2 linked regions of the Stegostoma tigrinum genome follow. The protein of the gene in region 2 purifies or fractionates together with the protein of the main gene of each other region. This does not show direct contact. Links are inferred from orthologs where the notes say so. Each region holds a gene or a part of one and is shown on either strand. Other genes may lie near its edges.

What was found. The genes of interacting proteins can lie anywhere in the genome.
Region 1: the proteins of ccdc6b (region 2) and ppp4r2b purify together in Homo sapiens (co-immunoprecipitation; 3 studies listed by BioGRID and IntAct, counting the BioPlex papers as one, with this or other methods). This does not show direct contact. The link is inferred for Stegostoma tigrinum from reciprocal best matches to the Homo sapiens genes CCDC6 and PPP4R2.

Annotation. Positions count from the first base shown.
Region 1 is NC_081364.1:39,750,905-39,754,651, reverse strand, and holds the start of ppp4r2b (serine/threonine-protein phosphatase 4 regulatory subunit 2-B), read left to right. Parts: upstream 1-836; 5' UTR 837-892; coding exon 893-926; intron 927-1,048; coding exon 1,049-1,130; intron 1,131-3,747. UniProt on the Homo sapiens protein: Regulatory subunit of serine/threonine-protein phosphatase 4 (PP4). May regulate the activity of PPP4C at centrosomal microtubule organizing centers.
Region 2 is NC_081373.1:50,824,592-50,828,338, reverse strand, and holds the start of ccdc6b (coiled-coil domain-containing protein 6b), read left to right. Parts: upstream 1-1,299; 5' UTR 1,300-1,357; coding exon 1,358-1,609; intron 1,610-1,972; exon of another isoform or gene 1,973-2,010; coding exon of another isoform or gene 2,011-2,073; intron 2,074-3,747.

The DNA of each region.
Region 1 (3,747 bases), on a different chromosome or scaffold from region 2:
AGGGCAGGCAGGTTTGTGGATTTTGGGAAGGAGATAGAAACGGGCCGTGCGGGGTTGGGGAACAATGAGGTTGGAGGCTGTGGGTGGGAGGTCCCCTGAGGTGTTGAGGTCATGAATGGTGTTGGAGATGATGGTTTGGTGCTCGGGTGTGGGGTCATGATCGAGGGGGCGGTAGGAGGTGGTGTCGGAGAGTTGACGTCTGGCCTCGGCGATGTAGAGGTCAGTGCGCCATACTACCACTGCGCCACCCTTGTCTGCGGGTTTGATGGTGAGGTTGGGGTTGGAGTGGAGGGCTGCCCGTTCTGCGGGGGAGGTTTCTCCAGATAGGGGAAAGTTTGTTCCTTCAGGTGCCGCCAGACCTAGAGAAACACAGCAGGTTTGCCACAATCTAGAAGACAGAGTTTTAGAAGACAGAGTTTCTCCAACACACTTGTTACACGCAATTTCTACGTCATGTGCAGGAATAAACGCGTAGGAATTTAATGTTCCTCGGACAGCTCCTCCCTCGGCGCACTTTCGTCATAAAAAGGAGCTTAAAGACTGGGGAAGCAATTGAATATCCAGGACGCACAGTGATGATACTCAACGTAGGGGGTGGGGCGAAAGGGACGCACACGTGACAGTCAACCTCGCCTTCGGAGGCCCGCTCATGCGCGCCTGCGCCAGCTGCGATGGCGTCATCACGTCGAGGCGCGTGGATGACGCCACCGCGCCGTGCGATGGGAGTGACGTCTGCGGGCGGCGCCATGTTGTGTGTTTCACCCAGTGCCGGGCCCGCTGTCTACTGAAAGAGGGAACGGGGGGAAACTTTATTCGGTGGTACTCTGGGTCCCGGTTTCTGGCGCGGGGGTGGGGGGGGAAAGGGGGAATCGGTTTTAGTTGCACCTCCAAGATGGAGACGGAGAGCCTCCTGGAAGCTCTGTCAGGTCAGTGGTGGCAGACGAACGAACATTAGTTGGTGGTTTGTGTCTCACCGCGGGACTGGGAATCCCGATCCCCACGGCTTTGAATAACCTGTGCTCTCTGTGTGTGTCTTTCCCACCGGCAGATTTCGAGAAGAAATCCAAGAAGGAAGTGTCGTCGCTGTTGGACCAGTTCCTTTGTCATGTCGCGAAGACGGGAGAAACCCTGTGAGTGAAACCGTGAGAGAGAGAGAGAGAGAGAGAGGGCCCTGAGGCCCGGGAGGGAGCAGGGAACTCAACTCAGTTCTCAGCCGGGGAGAGTTGTGGGTGGTCGGAGGGTTCACAGTGAGGAAGGCTAAACAACCCACCCCCCCCATACACCACCCCCATTCTCCGTTCTCACCACCCCCCCCACACACCACCCCCCCCACACACCACCCCCATTCTCCGTTCTCACCCCCCACACACACCACCCCCATTCTCCGTTCTCACCCCCCACACACACCACCCCCATTCTCCGTTCTCACCCCCCACACACACCACCCCCATTCTCCGTTCTCACCCCCCCACACACCACCCCCATTCTCCGTTCTCACCCCCCCACACACCACCCCCATTCTCCGTTCTCACCCCCCCACACACCACCCCCATTCTCCGTTCTCACCGCCCCACACGCCACCCCCCAGCTCCTTTCTCCCTCGCCCCCCCCACACCACCCCCAGCTCCTTTCTCCCTCGCGCCCCCCGCCACACCACCCCCAGCTCCTTTCTCCCTCGCCCCCCCCCCGACACCACCCCCAGCTCCTTTCTCCCTCGCCCCCCCCCGACACCACCCCCAGCTCCTTTCTCCCTCGCCACCCCCAGCTCCTTTCTCCCTCGCCACCCCCAGCTCCTTTCTCCCTCGCCACCCCCAGCTCCTTTCTCCCTCGCCACCCCCAGCTCCTTTCTCCCTCGCCACCCCCAGCTCCTTTCTCCCTCGCCACCCCCAGCTCCTTTCTCCCTCGCCACCCCCAGCTCCTTTCTCCCTCGCCACCCCCAGCTCCTTTCTCCCTCGCCACCCCCAGCTCCTTTCTCCCTCGCCACCCCCAGCTCCTTTCTCCCTCGCCACCCCCAGCTCCTTTCTCCCTCGCCACCCCCAGCTCCTTTCTCCCTCGCCACCCCCAGCTCCTTTCTCCCTCGCCACCCCCAGCTCCTTTCTCCCTCGCCACCCCCAGCTCCTTTCTCCCTCGCCACCCCCAGCTCCTTTCTCCCTCGCCACCCCCAGCTCCTTTCTCCCTCGCCACCCCCAGCTCCTTTCTCCCTCGCCACCCCCAGCTCCTTTCTCCCTCGCCACCCCCAGCTCCTTTCTCCCTCGCCACCCCCAGCTCCTTTCTCCCTCGCCACCCCCAGCTCCTTTCTCCCTCGCCACCCCCAGCTCCTTTCTCCCTCGCCACCCCCAGCTCCTTTCTCCCTCGCCACCCCCAGCTCCTTTCTCCCTCGCCACCCCCAGCTCCTTTCTCCCTCGCCACCCCCAGCTCCTTTCTCCCTCGCCACCCCCAGCTCCTTTCTCCCTCGCCACCCCCAGCTCCTTTCTCCCTCGCCACCCCCAGCTCCTTTCTCCCTCGCCACCCCCAGCTCCTTTCTCCCTCGCCACCCCCAGCTCCTTTCTCCCTCGCCACCCCCAGCTCCTTTCTCCCTCGCCACCCCCAGCTCCTTTCTCCCTCGCCACCCCCAGCTCCTTTCTCCCTCGCCACCCCCAGCTCCTTTCTCCCTCGCCACCCCCAGCTCCTTTCTCCCTCGCCACCCCCAGCTCCTTTCTCCCTCGCCACCCCCAGCTCCTTTCTCCCTCGCCACCCCCAGCTCCTTTCTCCCTCGCCACCCCCAGCTCCTTTCTCCCTCGCCACCCCCAGCTCCTTTCTCCCTCGCCACCCCCAGCTCCTTTCTCCCTCGCCACCCCCAGCTCCTTTCTCCCTCGCCACCCCCAGCTCCTTTCTCCCTCGCCACCCCCAGCTCCTTTCTCCCTCGCCACCCCCAGCTCCTTTCTCCCTCGCCACCCCCAGCTCCTTTCTCCCTCGCCACCCCCAGCTCCTTTCTCCCTCGCCACCCCCAGCTCCTTTCTCCCTCGCCACCCCCAGCTCCTTTCTCCCTCGCCACCCCCAGCTCCTTTCTCCCTCGCCACCCCCAGCTCCTTTCTCCCTCGCCACCCCCAGCTCCTTTCTCCCTCGCCACCCCCAGCTCCTTTCTCCCTCGCCACCCCCAGCTCCTTTCTCCCTCGCCACCCCCAGCTCCTTTCTCCCTCGCCACCCCCAGCTCCTTTCTCCCTCGCCACCCCCAGCTCCTTTCTCCCTCGCCACCCCCAGCTCCTTTCTCCCTCGCCACCCCCAGCTCCTTTCTCCCTCGCCACCCCCAGCTCCTTTCTCCCTCGCCACCCCCAGCTCCTTTCTCCCTCGCCACCCCCAGCTCCTTTCTCCCTCGCCACCCCCAGCTCCTTTCTCCCTCGCCACCCCCAGCTCCTTTCTCCCTCGCCACCCCCAGCTCCTTTCTCCCTCGCCACCCCCAGCTCCTTTCTCCCTCGCCACCCCCAGCTCCTTTCTCCCTCGCCACCCCCAGCTCCTTTCTCCCTCGCCACCCCCAGCTCCTTTCTCCCTCGCCACCCCCAGCTCCTTTCTCCCTCGCCACCCCCAGCTCCTTTCTCCCTCGCCACCCCCAGCTCCTTTCTCCCTCGCCACCCCCAGCTCCTTTCTCCCTCGCCACCCCCAGCTCCTTTCTCCCTCGCCACCCCCAGCTCCTTTCTCCCTCGCCACCCCCAGCTCCTTTCTCCCTCGCCACCCCCAGCTCCTTTCTCCCTCGCCACCCCCAGCTCCTTT
Region 2 (3,747 bases):
TCCCCAGGGAAAAGACTTTATCTATTTACCCTATCCGTATCTCTCATGATTTTATGAACATCCATAAGTTTAGCCCTCAGCCTCCGATGCTCAAGGGAAAATAGCCCCAGGTAATTCAGCCACCCTTGCTCCATTGCTCAAACCCTCAAACCTTGGAAACATCCTTGTAAATCTTTTCTGCACCCTTTCAAGTTTCACAACGTCCTTCCTATAGCAGGGAGATCAGAATTGTGAGCCTGGAAAAGCACAGCAGATCAGACAGTATCCGAGGAGCAAAAAGTCAATGTTTCAGGCCAAAACATTTCATTAGGACATTCAGCCCAAACGTGTTCCAAAACTGGCCTGACCAATGTCCACTACAGGCACATCATGATCTCCCAACACCTATACTCAATGCATTGGTGAGCATACTAAGTTCCTTGAAGACCATAAGGACTGCAGGTGTTGGAAGCCAGAGTCTACAGGTGTGAGGTTGGAAAAGCACAGCAGGTAGATAGAACAGTGAGGAAGGAATGTGGTACAGGTGTGAGGTTGGAAAAGCACGGCAGGTCAGATAGCATCTGAGGAACAGGTAAGTCAACGTTTCAGTCCAAATGCCCTTACGAAGGGTCTCAGCCTGAAATGTTGACTCTCCTGCTCCTTGGATGCTGTCGGACCTGCTGTGCTTTTCCAGCCTCACACCTATACCACATTCCTTCTTCACTGCCCTGTCCACCTAGGCCTCCACCTTTCTGCGCATCCAGAAATCTCCCCTCACAAGCCCCGCCCCTGCAAGCAAGCCCCGCCCCAACCGAAAGTCCCGCACTGCACACAAGCCCCGCCTCTACAACGGAGGACCCGCGACACAAGCCCCGCCCCAAAGCGCACACTCCTCCTAACGGATAGGCCCCGCCCCTCAACCCCAAAGCCCCCACCACTCAAGTCCCGCCCCTACAGAACAAGCCCTCCGTCCCACTAATTGCCTCGCGTTCCCTCCAAGCCACGACTCCATAGGACAGGACAGCCCACCGCTTTCCAAGCCGCCCAGTTTCATCATTGGCCCCGCCACCATGCTTGTGCCCCGCCCACCGCTTTCCGCTGCAGTGGGCTTTAGGCGCCGTCTTCACCGTGCCACGCCCCTATCAGTGCACCAGCGCCGGCAATCTCCCCGCCCCGCAATGGGCCTCACCCGCCCATAATTACCCCGCCCTCTCCCTATGCTCCGCCCCGCCCCTGTTCTCGTGCTATAGTCCCGCCCCCTGCCCGGGGGCTGCCCTTCGCGTTGGCACAGCCCATCGTGGAACACCGCCCCCTTAGGCCCCGCCCTGCTCCGCACACCCTCCACAAGCCCAGGATCAGGCAGCGAGTGGGCTCCAACATGGCGGACAGCGCCAGTGAGAGTGACACGGATGCGGCGGGCAGTTCATCGGCGTTGCCGCCCGCCAACTCGTCGGCCGCCTCCAAGGCTGGTATCGTGATCTCGGCCTCCAAGCTGGAGGAGCTGAGCAACCGGCTAGCCTCGCTGCAGCAGGAGAACAAGGTGCTGAAGATCGAGCTGGAGACCTACAAGCTCAAGTGCAAGGCCCTGCAGGAGGAGAACCGCGACCTGCGCAAGGCCAGCGTTACCATCGTAAGTGAGCCCGAGGCCCTGGGCCGCGGGTTCCCGGACACTCTTGCTCTCCCTGTCTGCGGGGCCTCCTTCCCAGACCAGCCCAGCACAGCCCTGCCCGGCCCCACCTGGAGTCGGCTGCTGGCTGACCATTGAGGGCTAGGCCACACAGTTGAGGCTGGGGTTGGGCCCGGGGCGTAGGGGCTGGTTTGGGCAAGGCAAGGCTTGGGGAGTATGGTACGAAGGAGATCCAGCACCTTCAGTGCTCTGGGTGGCGGGTGAAGCAGTGATTCTGCAAACCTAAGAGCGAATGGAAAGCTTGCACTGGTTTGCTATTAACTCATCCGTACCTGCCTCTTTTATTTTGTTAAAGCAAATCCCACACTTTGTTTCCCGGCTGATGCTCTATCCGAATTCGATGGATGAGCCTGCTTTTAACCCACGCTGTAGGAAACAAAACCTGCAACAGGTGCTCCCAGGATTCGGTGTGTTTTGTGGCATGTTTTCGGGGCTGTGGGAATCCAAAAATAACGTTCTGGTTTGCCTCCAAGTGCTTCTGACATGCCATCTCGACGACTAAATAGCCCGACTGTCACGTTGCAGTAAACGGTGGCTGCCGCTTGCAAATGTTTCCTCTTTTTTTTCGAAAAGAAGCAGGCAGTGATTGCATTGATTTTTAAAGTAATTAGCTCCCAAAAATCTGTAATTCTGAGGGGTGGTGCCTGTAAACAGTGTTCCTTTGTTCCTGTTGTGTGAAATCATAACTGCAGGTTTGGAATGATGGAGATATAATTCACCATTTGAAGCATTGGGTTTGATTTGTCGGGGCCTCCATGTTTTTTTTTGTTGTGGTCAAAATCTAGCTGCATTTTTCCGCACACCTTCTGCCCAGTCCTCTGCACTGTGTTTCAGATCACATTCTGCCATTCCTGGTTTCAAACGAGTCATTCTCTTTGGACTAGAAAGATTAAATTGAGACAGTGAAATCTTTAATTTTTAAAGAGGCATGGTGTTTGAGGGATGGGCAGCATTAGCTTATGACTCTCCATTGGTATTTTTATACAGAAAGGTGATTGAAGTTTGCATGTTTTGGTGAATCATTTTTCAGTTTGCAGCAATTCATTGCTTACAGTACTGAAGTACAGTGCTGATGTTTGCAAATAGACAGTTGAGTTGAATATATCTCAAATCTATGAACTGTATCAAGAACTTGATAGGTCAGACAAGAACAATACATCAAACCTGATGTTTACCCAGTTGACACAAGTTGGGATAGTTTTTGCTATTCATAAATGTGTGCTGGTAGATTCCCATTCAAGTTAATTGTAATTCTGGCATTCAAAAGGGCAAAATGACAAACTGTTGAGAAACATTTTTGCTGGGATAGGTTATTTTGTCCAACTAGTCTCTGCTGCACTTCATGGAACTCTTCCTTCTCCTTCATCTAATTGGAGCTTCCCAAAACTTCAGCTTTAAGATTGCAAGTTCTGATGCAGCAATGGTTTCCAGACAGCCGAAACCCGAACATCTGGGCACCTACTGTAACGGGCACCTGTGTTCAGAGCCAGTCTCCCTGCCCCTCCCTCTACTTCCACCTGCTTCATTCCCTGTCATTTGAAGAATCATATTTGCAATTTTGTTGCTTAAATGTGAGATGTAAAGTTTGCCAAACACTGATCTAATGTTACCAGCATGTCCCTTTTTTATGGTAGTGTTTTGAACAGTGCTTGGACTAGAAAATGTTACTGACTACTTGCTTAACACATTCCTGAGCCATTTCAAGAGTGCTCCTTAAGGTTGATCGGCAGCCCACCAGCAAGCAGCAGGGAGCTGGTTGAATCCAAACAGATTTAACTAAAGGGCTTGTTAAGGCCTTGTAGCTGCATCAATTGGGATTTTCACTTGGCATTGCAGGTAGCCAAAGTTGCCCAGGTCACTTGTGGGCTCGGGGGAGGGCAGTACATTGGATAATACCAGGATACCCTTGCATGGGGATTAGGGGTTGGAACTCTGAATTAACTCCCATGTCTGATTCTCCACCACTGATAGTTCTTTAAGTCTGCACTCTTCAACAGAAGTGAGCTGAAGTAAACTTGCAAGGGAAATGTTACGAATTGAAATATTGAAACACAAAAAGAGCGACCAGAGGGATTATCGTT